2 linked regions of the Arabidopsis thaliana genome follow. The protein of the gene in region 2 interacts with the protein of the main gene of each other region in a pairwise test. Each region holds a gene or a part of one and is shown on either strand. Other genes may lie near its edges.

What was found.
Region 1: the proteins of AT5G65300 (region 2) and SKdZeta interact in a two-hybrid assay, tested with the Arabidopsis thaliana proteins (one large-scale study listed by BioGRID).

The regions. Positions count from the first base shown.
Region 1 is NC_003071.7:13,179,873-13,189,084, forward strand, and holds SKdZeta (SHAGGY-related protein kinase dZeta), read right to left. Parts: upstream 6,102-9,212; 5' UTR 5,999-6,101; coding exon 5,888-5,998; intron 4,777-5,887; coding exon 4,684-4,776; intron 4,471-4,683; coding exon 4,411-4,470; intron 4,329-4,410; coding exon 4,056-4,328; intron 3,968-4,055; coding exon 3,893-3,967; intron 3,817-3,892; coding exon 3,760-3,816; intron 3,572-3,759; coding exon 3,431-3,571; intron 3,337-3,430; coding exon 3,286-3,336; intron 3,211-3,285; coding exon 3,115-3,210; intron 2,990-3,114; coding exon 2,906-2,989; intron 2,778-2,905; coding exon 2,676-2,777; intron 2,574-2,675; coding exon 2,478-2,573; 3' UTR 2,153-2,477; downstream 1-2,152. Other genes in the region: ASP1 (aspartate aminotransferase 1), read left to right, coding at 1-158, 282-387, 472-576, 674-846, 1,046-1,205, 1,331-1,426, 1,518-1,612, 1,742-1,814; AT2G30985 (uncharacterized protein), read left to right, coding at 7,034-7,192; AT2G30990 (arginine N-methyltransferase, putative (DUF688)), read right to left, coding at 7,904-7,933, 8,045-8,830, 8,924-9,212. UniProt on the Arabidopsis thaliana protein: May mediate extracellular signals to regulate transcription in differentiating cells.
Region 2 is NC_003076.8:26,093,564-26,099,707, forward strand, and holds AT5G65300 (uncharacterized protein), read right to left. Parts: upstream 2,552-6,144; 5' UTR 2,156-2,551; coding exon 1,703-2,155; 3' UTR 1,580-1,702; downstream 1-1,579. Other genes in the region: AT5G65290 (LMBR1-like membrane protein), read left to right, coding at 1-13, 103-203, 280-774.

The sequences.
Region 1 (9,212 bases), on a different chromosome or scaffold from region 2:
AAGCTTGCCTATGGGGACAATAGTGAATTTATCAAAGATAAAAGAATTGCTGCAGTTCAGACTCTGTCTGGCACTGGAGCCTGCCGGCTCTTTGCAGACTTCCAGAAACGTTTTTCTCCTGGTTCACAGATCTACATTCCTGTTCCAACCTGGTCCAAGTGAGTTTCCTACAGTTGATTTGATCATTTCTCATGTTAACCTCAACGGTCTACTTTGTAAGTGTGGCCAAGCTTCTTTTGCTTCCCAAAAATAACATGGTTTATGTTTTCTCTTATGAATAGCCACCACAACATCTGGAAAGATGCACAAGTCCCTCAAAAGACATATCATTACTATCATCCAGAAACCAAGGGCTTGGATTTCTCAGCATTGATGGATGATGTGAAGGTTAGCAAAGAACATCTTCTTCAACTAGCATCTTTTTTACTTCTTCTTGTTAACATCCTAATTCTGTTAAGCCTTTTTCCATAGAATGCTCCGGAAGGGTCATTCTTCCTTCTTCATGCTTGTGCTCATAATCCTACTGGAGTAGACCCTACAGAGGAACAATGGAGAGAGATATCACAGCTATTCAAGGTGATAACTCATCAGTTTCTTATAGTTATCTGTCTATCATTGACTTTATTTCTCCTTGATCAGCCCTCTGCAGACTAACATCGAGTTCTCATTTCAGGCTAAAAAGCATTTCGCATTCTTCGATATGGCTTACCAAGGTTTTGCTAGTGGAGATCCAGCGAGAGATGCCAAGTCCATCAGGATCTTTCTTGAAGATGGTCATCATATTGGAATTTCTCAGTCCTATGCAAAAAACATGGGACTCTACGGCCAGAGGGTGGGATGTCTCAGGTATTCATTTTTCTCAACAAAGAACATCGTTTTCTTCCTACACGAAGGAAAATATGGAAATTAGAAAGTACAGATATCAGCATTTTAAAAATTTGGATTGTAGGCGTCAACAAATTGTATGAAATAGCCATCATACAGGTTCATTTAGTGATGAAGTAAAAACTGAATATGAACATGACAACTTTGTCTTCTACTGCAGTGTGCTTTGTGAAGATCCGAAGCAAGCCGTGGCTGTGAAAAGTCAATTGCAGCAGCTAGCTAGACCAATGTACAGCAACCCACCTTTGCATGGTGCTCAGCTGGTCTCAACCATTCTTGAAGACCCAGAGTTAAAGAGTCTGTGGCTAAAAGAAGTTAAGGTAACATTTATGAAAAAATGCTAATTCTTTCATTCAATTACCTTATATCCCATGTTCACTCTTTTATGTTTAGTAATCAACTATGGAATTAAAATCTGATAAGCCATATGTAAAATCTGTAACAGGTCATGGCTGATAGGATCATCGGCATGAGAACTACTTTGCGAGAAAGCCTTGAGAAGTTAGGATCGCCTTTGTCATGGGAGCACGTTACCAAACAGGTAACTACAACAACAAAATAGGCTTCTTTTGTGAAATTCTTGTTATTTCTCTCCTTTGACTCACACAGTCATATCTTTATGGTGATAACAGATTGGAATGTTCTGCTACAGTGGGTTAACACCAGAACAGGTTGACCGCTTAACAAGCGAATATCACATCTATATGACCCGTAACGGCCGTATCAGGTACTTCACTTTCTCCTGATTAGAAATCTTTCAGCTCACATTCAATGCAATCCATTTCCTAACATCAACATGCTTAATTTCAATGCAAGCCATTTCCTAATCATTGAGGCTCTTGATGTTTGGTTGCAGTATGGCTGGTGTTACAACAGGAAACGTGGGATACCTTGCGAATGCTATACATGAAGTCACCAAGTCATCTTAAATCATTTACTTACATGTTTCAGCCAAACATACAAATTTTGTTTGAAGAGTCAATAAGACAGGAGGCTAGATTTGTACTTCTGCAATTGGTTTTGTGGGAACTGAAAGTTTACCCATAAACAGTAATTTATTAGCGCATTTTTTCGTTAGCTGGGCAATAAAAGCAAAGCCTAAACGATGGATTTTTGGATATACAAAATTCGGATTGTTTTCTTTCTTCTCAATTGCTCTTTTTGTGCTTGTTTCCTTTCAACGTTACAATGCCAATGCTGGCAAAATTTTATCCTCAAGCTCATTGATTTCAAATGTTTTTAGTTTTTACTTTTACCGTAGGCAACTTTAGATTATCATGATTTCATTTCATCATTTCGGTTATTTGACTTGCAGTTTGGAATCGATTTTGTTTCATTTCAAGGACAAAAACATATACAAATACTGATACAGGAGAAAAGTATCTCTCTACAAGTCAGTGAACAAAAAGAATATAATAGGACACAATCATCGCCTCCTGATTTCTCAAAAAGCTGAATTGGCCACGTCTAAGGAGGAGACATCATCTCTTCTCAGAAGCTGATACTTAGTTAATCAGAGAGAAGTAAATCTCCCTCTCCTTCATTCCATAAGGCGGCATTTTGCTCTGGAAAAGCATCTCGAGATCGCTTTTCTAGGGTCCAGCTTGAAATGGAAAGCCACCATTCATCTGTCGCCTCACATGCTCTGGTATTAGCCTGTTGATAAGCTCCGGTGAAGCCCCAGACAACTGTTTCAATAGTCAAAGAGAGAGCTAACAGATTGAGTAACTGTATGCACATTCAGTTATGTTTGGTTGAAGGAAAAGTGATTTTGGAATGGTTTAACATACCTCTTGTTTGAAGTTGAACAACGGTGGTAGAGGTCGGCCATTTGGAAGACGAGCATTTGGCTCACGGAGTTCATTGAAAAACGGATGCGCACATGCCTCGAGCTTCAGACGGCAAACAAACAAGTCAGTTGAAAAACAACATTTCACTCCTTCATTGAACAGTGTATGGTCCAAAGAAGCCAGAGAGAACCACTGTAACAATTAAGAGTACTTGGTTTAGAAATACCAACCGCAGTGCAACGTAGACTTGGTGAGTATTGAAGAAGCCGAGATGCAAGGTCAATGGCTTCCGGAGGCATCCGCTTGTGGAAAACCTGGAGGTCATAGAGCAGTTGTGCACCGTGTTAGCTTCTTTTCCATGAATGTTGTTTAGGTAGAGAAGTAAGCAATTGTATGATTAGAAAGAAGTTCGAAAGTGACATGCATATATATATATTACCTTATGCCAAGGGTGGGCTTTGATTTGTGGGAATCTGAAGTCTGTGTAGTTTGGGTTCATGCACCGGATTTCTTCGCGAGTTGGAGTACCAAGAACCTAAACCAACACAGCACATCATGAGCACAGACAGGAAATGACGCCAAAACAAAATATAATAAAAGAAGAGTTCACCTTTATGATCTCCACTAGCTGGTCCACAGAATTTTCTCCCGGGAATAACGGCTGTGAAGATAAATAATACCACATTGTTTACAGAAGATTTTGGAGAGATGCTTTAGTTCTCAAGATACTCAACAGGTTAGAAATTTACACTAACCTGCCCAAGAAGTAGCTCTGCCAGAACACAACCAGCAGACCATATATCAATGGATGATGTATACTCTGTGGCACCAAAGATGAGTTCTGGAGCTCGGTAATACCGAGAGCAGATATATGATATGTTTGCTTCACCTTTCACCTAATATAAAAAGCCAAATGTTGCAAATATCAGGCTAACAGAGAAATATCTGAAACTGCATCCATACTTATGTAAATTACTTGCATAATATTCACTTAATTGGAGTTTTTAACTACTGCATGCAAAGACACAAGCACAGTGGAAAAGACAAACAACAAATGGGGTAAATAAAAGTCTAAACCTCTTACCAGTACTTTTGCACTTCCAAAATCACAGAGCTTACACTGATGGGTGAGGGGATCAACCTACAGAACATACAGAGAATAAGATTACAATCTAGTCAAGGTTACCAAAGACAAAACCCACAATAGATCAACGTACCAAAAGATTTTGTGGTTTCACATCTCTGTGGCAGACACCAGGAGCAGTATGGATATAAGCCAAGCCTCTGAAGATCTGCACAACATATTTTATAAACAGTTTTAGGATAAACACAACAGAGTAAAGAGTATTTATTGGGGAAAGAGTAGATAACAATGCATACTTGGTATGTGTAAAGTTTGACATAGAAGATAGGCATCCGCTGGTTTGAACTAGTATAGTGCTTCAAAACCCGGTACAATGTCTCTGGTACATACTCCATAACGAGATTGAGGAAGAGCTCATCTCTAGTCGTTGTAGAGAAGAAACAATGCTTCAAGGAAACCACATTTGGATGGTCCATTAGTCGCATTAATTGCAACTCTCGGTTTTTATAACGGCGATCTTGCAAAACCTTCTTAATGGCTACTGATTCTCCAGTTTCCAAGCATTTTGCCTAGAATGGTAAGTTAACAATCTGATCAGAAAGGAAAGACAAAAAGCCATTTGCCTGTAGACAGTGACAAGCACAATGATACCTGGAATACAATTCCGAATGATCCTGTTCCAACAACACGTTCGGCCATGTAACTAATGGTCTGTAAAGGCCAGAGGGATGAAAACATTAGAGAGTAGAACTTAGAGTTGGAAAAAAGGAGCCACAAAGTCAAAAGATGTAAAAACCTATTTATTTATTTGTTGAATTTCTATAGATTAATCCAAACCTTAGGTAACCTTATACATGGTAGTGTGCTCGAGCAATAACTATGATTTAAATCATTACAAAGATTTAATAAACAACAGAATCCAACCTGTTTAGGTTCACCATTTTTGCCTCCAATTGTAGTAGAAATTATGTGACCGGTAACAGCATCATTTCCTTCTATAACAGCAGCAGACATTTCCTAAAATCAAACGTGAACATATTATTACAGGAGTTAAAACTATTCTTGTCTACAAAGAATGAAGGAAAGTAGTAACAATTAGTGTTTCCTCCGATGTATATTGATTGAATAGACAAATAATTCAAAATATTCGAATCGTTTTTCAATCAGTTCTATCAAGTGTATGAAATCTTCCAGAATATAAACTTTCCTTTAAAATAGCATTCAAATCTAAGAACAGTCAATGCCCAATTTACAGAGAATTCAATCATGTAAGATAACTAAATGTAAATCTAAATGATGTCGCAAGTTCCTGTTGACCAGAGGCTAACAAAATTCAGAAAACAAATGCATACTACTATACTAGTTGTTACAGGTAAAGGAAAGCTAAAAAATGATAACTGTAACTTCAAGAGTAGAGAAAGATTAAGATGTCAACCATTTTGTGGACATAAGAAACTTGTACAAAATCAAAAGATACAATCAGACACAACATGGAACAGACACTGTCAGGTGGAGAAACAAAGCAAAAGAACATAAAACAAAAGAAAAGAGTTCAGAATCAATACAGAATGGGCCAAGAATCATATAATCTAAACGAATACTCCAAAAACTGTCAGGAAAAAGAAGAAAAAAAACTCGAAGATACACAAGTACTTTGTGAAGTCAAAAGTGTTAAATTTAACACCCAAACTATGAGGTTACTTCTTTAGGGTTCAAAGGGTTATTACTAGAAAATTTCTGTTATTTACCCTAATTTCTTCTTTAGGGTTCGAAGGTTTACTGCTACTAATCAAAAACAGCTCAAGAGATCAATCTTCACTACAAAAAAGGTTGAAAATTTCAGCTGAAGAAAAGTAAAACTAGCTACTATGAAGTCAAAATGCACAATCTTCAATGAGCTCAAATCAAGAACGCTGACTAAAAAGGAACACAGATCGATTGACTAACACATCGAAACAAGCAAAATCCGAGCTAGATCTAGAAAACCCACAAAACGAAAATTGAAATACATTGTTCACGAAAGAATCAATCAGAGAGAGAGAGAGAGAGAGAGAGAGAGAGAGAGAGAGAGAGAGAGAGAGAGAGATACACACAAACGTTTCAAGTTATAAGAGAAGAAAAAACTAACCTTGTCGTTGTCTATATCGGGACGACGTTTCAAAGAATCTCCGCCGTGAAGATGCGGCGGCTGAGGAGCTAAAGACGGAGGCTGAGGAGGCCCCAATGGTATCGAAGTCATGTGCTTTTACAGCTCTAACTTCTCTCTCTCACTGAAAGAGTAAAGACTATTTTGTTCTCTCTCTATTACCTGGTGTTCTGTCTAAACTTGAGAAAATTTTTAAAGATAAAGAGGAAACCCACGCGTAAGTTTAGCGCGTGATTCTTACGCTCCAATGAAACACTAATCTGTTTATTAAGTAGTCATTATTTAATAAGCACAGTGATTGGTGAAGTGAAAAGTCTGATAACTCCGTAATAATACCATAATGCAATTTATTGTGGAGATTACTACATTCACACAATCAGATAATTTGGGTAAACTAACAACAACTACTCTCTTTCAGATTAATAGTTGTTTTGGAGTTTTACCACAATTTTAAAAACTCTTTAATCTATCTACTAATATAAATTGTTTACAGTATTCATTCTAGTTTTTTTAACAGTTTTTATTCGCTATCGGTAAACTCTTTGAATGGAAAAATATTGGCTTACGTTACGTATGTGTTTTCTGAATCTTGAATCTTCTAAGTTTTTGTCATTTTAGAAAAAAAATTGGTGTTCTCTGGAGCCAGATGGCTACATATTTGACTTTTAATATTTGGTCCAATTTAAAGGATGGATAAAAGTCTTAGAATAAGGGGAGTGGACTTAGCACATGGACGAATGACGATCATAATCAATTTCTTGGAACATTTTGTTTAATAATAACTCGCTATTTGGATTCCAACGACCAACACTATGGACAAATAACATCAAAACAATGTTAAAATATATACATACAAAAACTATGATTGAGATATATTTTTCTCTTGTATACATCATGACATGATATATTTACGTCGAAATTTTCTTTTAACATGATATGGTGATAAAATTATTCATTAAGATGATTAGTTTGTGCAGAAAAAATACAAACGATGGAACTATTAAAGTAGAATGAAACTGATAGTAGGATGATGCAAGAATCGGATCCGATCATACTAATATCAAATAGATATTTGATTTTACTTTAGCATAACGATAATAAGATTAGGCACATGTTGTTCTTTAGGTAATGCCTAGATGTTCTAAGCAAATTGGTCATAAATTCAAATACGTACGGAAACAGTACCCAAGTGATATATCTACTTATCTAGCAACCCCCTCCTCCTCCACCACCATCACCACTGCAACCGCCAAAAACGCCACCTTTACAGCAGCAACAGCAACTTGAATCCTTCTTCTTTTCCTTCTTTTTGGAGCAAGCAAATACGGCCATGGTTACAAGTAACAACGACAGAAGAAACATGAAAATCAAGAACAAAACACCCCCAAAAGCAGCAGCTTCTTTCATGTCAAACTAACTGATAAAGAAACCTCTCACTCTCTCTCTATATTGTTTTTTAAATTTCTCTTCACTCATATATTTGCATGTGATCTTCCATGCCACTATATATATAAAGAGAATAAGAGATGAAATGTGAACATTTTCACACCAATATTGTTTCAATAATTCCTCTAGTGACTAATTTAGTCAAGGTATTCAATTCAATTCAATTCTGCAGCTTTCAAGTTTCCTTTCTAGTGAGCTCTATATTTTGAAACCATAATTACAAAAGAACGAAAAAAAAAAGTCTATTAGTAGAGAATAAAGAAGCAGTGTCACATGGAATTATTGCCATGAAATCTCCGTTAACATGAGCTGTACATCACTTCAACAAGAAACCTCTCCTTAAGTGCCAGACAATATTTAAGACATTTATCTCCATTGCTTTCTCTTTATCATGGAATCTTTTTGATTCAGATTTACACAAATAGTTAAAGACAAAATACCCAAACTTTATTGGCTCATCCCTTCTTTATTGTTGAAAATTTACATGTAATTTGGTGTGAAAAATTTTACAGTTTCTTCATTACCACCAGTGAGAATTTTGTTTTGGTCTTGCTATGACTCTGGTATAGGGTTTAGTGTTTCCTGAAAGAACAAAACAGGATCAACAAGTATTAACACATTTTGCCAAGCATTGACTTTGAAAATTAAGACACATTTGTGAAAGTATTGGACGTTTCTTTTTTTTTTTTTTACCTTGGAGAAGCACACAAACCCTTGCTGTGTATTGGACGTTTTGACCATAGTTTCCCACTTTGGATTAGCTTGAGTCTTGGTAAAGTGATTATCATCATCAGTGCCAAGAGACTGTAACCATGCGAATGAGTTGTTTTTTGGTGGTATTGTTGGTAATGTACGCTTTAACCAAGAATCTGAAGGAGCTTTTGGTAATGGTGGTGGAGGAACAATGAGATAACTTGAACGATGATGAAGCCTTGAACTTTCAATATTTGTTGTGATTACTTGCAACTGAACTTCAAGATCAATCTTCTTCTCCTTTGTAATCTCTACCACATCGGATTCTGGCAGTGCAACAATAGCTTGATGATCAGGACATTCTTCAACTTTCTGACTTGAGAATTTAGTGAAATCCTCATCTCTGTTACCATTCTCTTGCTCAATGCTTTTAGGCTGCGAGATATCAGCTTCTTCATCTTTTACAGGAACAATGTCTAGTGAAGGAGACTCTTTCAATATAGGCTGCTTCTTGGACTCTTCTTGTACCTTCTTATCTACTAGATGCACAATGTCTACATACAGAGTTTTCTCTGCCACAGGAGTCTCGGATGAAGGTTCCCATGTATTCTCATCACTAGCCAAGAGCTCACCAAAGTTTTTACTGATTTTACTGCGTGAAGCGGTGCCAACGTTCTCGAGTTTCTCTTTTCCTTGTGGTATAGAAGATACTGATAATGACTCACCTTGAGAAGACCCTTTTGCAACTGATTCAATTAGCTTCAACTTCCTCTTATCTTCATTTTGCTATAGAGAGAAAAATATAAAAGAAATTTGATGAGAGAAAAGGTCTCAGTGTAATGATGAACGAGGTGGCGAGAAGGAGAGGGAATCAATTACCTTGTTATGAGTTTCATTAGAAGGTGCAGAATCTTGGTACTTAGACCGCATACGACGAACAGAAACAGCTCTTTGTTGCTGCATTCTCACAGATGGAACCGGATTCAATAGTCCCAAAGAGCTTCTCAAGCAGAGTTGAGGGAGTAATCCACAAACACCAGACGCCATCATGCTGCTTATATTTCCATCTTCCTCTTCTTGATCAGGCGAATGACGAAACCGATACGGATTTTGCTCCACTTTGTTCTGTTTCTTCTTCATCAACTGCTTCACCGGTTCTTCTGGTTTA
Region 2 (6,144 bases):
ATTCTTAAAAAAGGTAAAAACACTATATTGATCTTTTTCTGCATTGAGATTTGATCCATAACCCTTGTTTTGAATTCATTTTCCATTTATAATAATGGTTAGAACGAACCTGGCTCGAAGAAGGACAAAAAGTCGGCGAGCATGTTCTTCCATTAGCGAGGAACTTCAACGATGTTGACATTGAACCAGGAAGCAATTTCTCTGTAAGTAGTAAAACCCATAACATATAAAAGCGGAGCTCATAGTACTTGTTCCAAATTCTGACTATGATATTTGCAGGAAAATTCTTCTGTTGAAATGAAGATGTCGTCGAGCTATGACATAGACACACTAAAAGGAAGTTCATCAAAAGACGATATGTCCCGTAAATACGGATCAGCTAGAGAAGCAATCACTAACAAATATGCAGCCATTAGAGAACAACAGAACAAACACTCGCCATCTTCTATGACAAAGCCAGAGAACATGGCTTCAGCTAAAGTGTCCTTACTCGAAACAGACAATTCAGGTCCAAGTAACGGTCAAGGATCTGGAGAGCCATCTTCTCGTCTGGCTTCCACATGGCGAAACATGAAACTAGGAATCCAGAGTTTTAAAGAGAATGTAGCTACCAAGAAGTTTCTTCCATTAAGACAAAGCCCAGAAACAACAGCACTAACAAGCACAAGAGTAGTGACTTCATCAGTGCCACAGTCGCTAGATGAGATATTCCAGAGACTTAAAAACCGGTCTGTAGAACACAGCCCCTACCTCGATGATGATGATGAAGTTTGATTATGAAGATGGTGTTCATTAATGATGAAAATTTAAAAGAACTCCATTTTAACACCAGATTTGTTCACCATAGTATATAACAACAATTTTACAAAAAACATCTAATTTGGGAGTTGGAAGGGTCCATTTTTTGTGTTGTAGGTTTTTATATGTTACCTGTTAATGACATGTTATATACTTTTGGATTATATAATACGATATACATAAAGTACTCGGTTCATTTTAAAATCCGTGATGGATTCCATGTTAATACAGATATTAATATATTATAGATGTCTTATATGACAAGCCACTTATATAACACGTAAGTTTTTTTTTTTTTTTGGACAAAATAACACGTAAGTTAAGTCATGAAAAATATACTTTAAGATATGATCAAAAATACTGATTGGGTTTGTCAATCCCAGGAAACTTCATAGCTTTTTTGCTTCTTTGGTCAATATTCGACTAGTAACAAGTTCTTTAACAAGAAATAATAGCACTAATTGGTAGTTTTTTTTTGCCTTTCTAGCCAATATTAACAAAAAATAATATATTATAGATGTCTTATATGACAAGTCACTCATATAACACGTAAGTTAAGCCATGAAAAATATACTTTTAAGATATGATCAAAAATACTGATTGGTTGGTCAATCCCAGGAAACTTCATAGCTTTTTTGCTTCTTTGTTCAATATTCAACTTGTAACAAGTTCTTTTTTTTGTCAATCACAACTTGTAACAAGTTCTTTTTTTTGTCAATCACAACTTGTAACAAGTTCTTTAACAAAAATAATTTGTAGTGTTTTTTGCCTTTCTAGCCAATATTAATCTCCATTTTCATTAATGAGAAATCACTTTCATTATTTTCACCATTTTACTTTCTTAATCTGTAACTGTACACGTCAAAAATAAAAGTTTCAGGAAAAAAAGACTAAAGTCGGTCATTTAATAAACTCGTTGCCGTGAAGTAACAAACCCGCCGACGTCGGCGCCACCGCCTTTCCCTTTAAGATGAAGCAACTTAGTCCAAAACCCAGTCTTCTTCTTAACCGTCGTAGATTTCAATTTCTCCGTCTTCTTCTTCGTCAAATCCCTAACAATATAATCCTTGGGAACATGAGCCATAGATCTGCTTTTCATTAATCCTCCACCTAAAGCTTCGATCAGATTACCATTTAAAGCTTCCCTAACAGCGAAAGACATCGACATCGAACCAGCTCTCCGATGATCCTTCACCGCCGGAGACGACGGAGAAGACGAAACGGTGGTGGATGAAGAAGAAGAAGATCTGTGAACGATGTAATACGACGTAGTATTAGGTAATCGAGAGAGTTTATCTCTTAAACAACAAGGACAAACTCCTCTGTTGCCTTGGTGGTTGTGTTTTCTGCATTCCATTTTTCTATCTTCTTCGTTCTCTTTTTTTTCTTCTTCTTTTTACACTTTGATTTGCTCTCAAAGAGGTTTATGTATGTGTGGGTTATATATATACACACGCATGTGCACGTGTGAAGTATTGCCACGTGGGCTTCAACGTCGGTATAACCAAAGAAAGGTCATTAAGGTTTCGCTATGTTGACAGGGCTTTTCGTAGAAGACGCAGTTATGACGTGTAAAGGACCACTTATATAAAAAAATTAGTCAAATTACTGTTTCTCTTTTCTTTTTACGTTATTAAAAGTGATTGGTTTTTTGCTTTTGATCAATTAAAGAACATAATTTAGAAAATGATTGTTTTATTTTTTTGTCAAACTTAAGAAAATGATTGTTATCTTTATACTGAAAATATCTGAGGAAAAAAATCTAAACAACTGATATTTGTCATATAATGATATTTTTGTAAAGAAAATCTTAATTGATAAAAATCTATATTATTTTATACTAAATGTATGAAAAATATCAATAGATTTGGAATTTAATTTAGTATCTATATAATTTTGGATTTACTTACTTTTTAGTTTTATTTTTATTTCTTAACTTATACAGTTTCATATTTACTTATTTTTAGTTTTCATTTAAAAGAAATTTACAGCTGTTTGCTTTTCTTTTTTCCAAATTTTTTTAAAACAAATCTAACCGGAAGATCCATAGATTTTTGTTATTTAGCAAACAAAAATGTCCCTAGATTCTATGTACAGTTAGTTAACGAAGATTATATGATGGGTGATGTAAGTGAGAGAAGTCACAGGCCGTGACACTAATAACAACTCAATTTTGGTTTCACAATTTCCCGATTCAGACGCGAAATAGGGTCAACAAAAGAAACGCAAATTAAAAGCGTTGATAGCGATGGACGGTTGGGATTTAAACAAACACTCAACATGCTACGGAGCCCACTTGTTAGGTATCATCTGACGGTGACCGTTGGCCGGTGGACTCGGGACTCGCTTCTAACGCGTACCAAATAATAATAAAACACACTCGTGCGCATTCATTTTTTTACTATCTCATAGTATTTTCTTAATTTACGTGACTTTTGATTTTCTGTATATTAATAGTTTCAGTTTTGTTTCTTGAAGAATGGTGCGCCGTATGCTTTCAATTTCGTGTGCACGTGAGAGTGTAGTCAAAAAGAACGACCAAAATTTATGGGAAAACGAAGTTATTGAGAAGAAAATCTAGAAGTTTGTACGGTTCATGATCGTGGGAATGAGTGATGGGATCAGATTACAAAGTAGATCCTCTTGTTTTATAACTTAATTCGGATAAACACTATTTATTCCATGAACCTTTCTTGACATTTAATGATTTACCAATTTTTTTTATTAATATAGTATCTTAAAACATGTTCTATGGACCTCGTGGTGTTGACGAAGCACCAAAAAAATCAATTATAATCTGGTAAAGCCACTTCACTTTTCACGTTAATGTTTCTACGTACATATATTAAATATATAATAAAAGTGATTGTGTTGATAAAAGATGGAATTATATAAGATCTTATGATATACGGAGCAAGTATAATACATTAGTGTTGTGACTTGTAATAGTGATGGGACATGGAAATTACTAAATTAGGCCTTTTGGATAACAGAAGAGGGAGAACATGACGATAATAATAAAAAGAGGGTGAACATAGCTCAAAACCAAGTTAGGCCTTTTGGATAACAGAAGGAGGCCCAAAGAAGCCCAAGTAAATAAAAACAATGCAAAAAGAAATATTGGGGTGAGAGAGGCTCGAACTCTCGACCTCAGGATCACTCACTAGCTATGAGACCTACGCGCTAGCCAACTGCGCCACCACCCCAATGTTGTTGAGTACCGTAATATTATGTATTTTTTACCCCTATTTTCCATAAAAACTGAAACGACCCTTAAGGTACTACTTCTCGCACAGATAAAAGGTACCAAAATTATACACAAGTTTCTAGTATTGTTCAAACGAGATACTTTATGAGTTCCCTTAGATATTATGCATTAAATATCACTTAATTTCACCTTTTAGGGTTAGTTATCCACTTCGTCTGAAATGGACCAACTTGTTACACATTAAATCACACTGTCACATGGAGAACAGCAAGCGACTATTCGAAGATAATGTATGGGTTAAGTCTCTAGTATCTAGACGGGTAAACATGTGGTCTAGTTTTTTCTTCCTTATGCCTCTAACAGTAAGCTGAAAGCGACAAAAATCACATTTAATATATGCAAGCAATTTATGGGACCTGAATTATTCAGCCCTAAATTAAAAAGCACACTAATAAATTACTTGTTTATTACTCAATGATGATCAGTTGTATTTCAAACCAACTCATGATGGTTTAGCTGTTGAGAAATTCACTACAAAATCAAGAGTTCATAGTTTTGAAGCGTATAATTGCAGTTTTGAATGTTTTAATCACAAAGATATCATCCTCATATAGACTTTGATAATTCGTTTATCGTTTGGCTCAAAATTCCATGATTTTGTAAGAAGAAGAAAAAACCAACTATCTTCAATTATCACAAATGTTTTATTTACGGGATCATTTTCGAGCTAGTTCCATATAGCAGCTGCATATTATTTCGGAATTTTACTTTTAGATGCAATCTGAGCCGAGCTGAAATGATTGAGCCGGTGGATCAAAGACCAATTTGGATTAGCGGAGCGCGTGAACTCACAGAGTCTTCTTTATAACTCCGAGGCATATGGAAAGGTTAGTGGTGCTTACGTGGGAGTCAAATTTGGCTGATGGGTGAATCTTGGGTCCCTCTTGGTGACCATGACAAAAGCCAAGCTTGTTTCTTTGTGGAGAGCCCTACAACGTTCCGTTATGGGAGATTTTAGTTTTTATAATTTGCTTGCTAATTGTACACAAACAAAATTACTATTATTTCATGATTTTTCCTTAATTAGATGCTTAAGTTTTGCAACTTCAAAAGAATGGATTATTTGACTACGATTTCAAAATTAACTTTGGAAATCGCCTTCTTGATAACAAATATTTGTGAAATTACATTTCCACATACAAGTTCTTTAACCCAAAGTCCATCACAAATTCAACAAAAATAAAACAAAAACAAAATGGGACATATAACCGGATGATATAACTGACTGGAATTTCCAATTTCACGGAAATGATCGTCAAACAATATTAAATTTCCGGTTACTCCAGCTTTCCGATTAATATAAAAAGTTTATCATGTACTGTATTATACAGTATTATATTTTAAAATAAAAATGTCGAAACAGCATATATCCTATGGGTATAAGTGCACATGCATGGTTGGGAACTTGGGCAGCATCAAGTTGGCATTACACAGAATTCTCGACCAAAATCAGAATCTCTCCTTCTTTATATTTTCTTTTTTTTTAATCTTGTATATGTTTTAAAATCATAATACCAGAACCATAACCTTTATTTAGGAAACGAAAAGACGAGTTATATCTGCTTCAGCAGCAGATTGTCATTAAGAATGTCTATCCTTAAGAAGAACTATAATACTGATTTGTGAGCAAAATGAAACAAACACTAGAGCAAAACTCACTTTTAATATTAAATTTTCTGATCTTTTATTATTCTGTGATACTTGATTATATAATTAACTACACTTACTTTAAGAAAAAGTATAATTACTACGTAAACAGTAACATCGCATAGAGCTAGAAATATACAATTATATCTTATATATACGTGAGACGGACAATAAAGTACGCTTAGGTAAAGATAATTGGCGTATCAAAGTTCAAAGCTATAAAGGGATATATAATATTATTAATAATCACAATTTGCAGATAAATTTCCAATTAAAAACCAGTTAAGTGGTGATATTTTTTATTTATTAACTTTAGTCTTTAGGTCGTTTTAATAGATGATAAATATATCATATATGCTTATAAGTATACGCGTCTAATTCAATGCAAGAAATTCCCTTTTCTGCTACAAAGGTCGAATACTAATTAAACA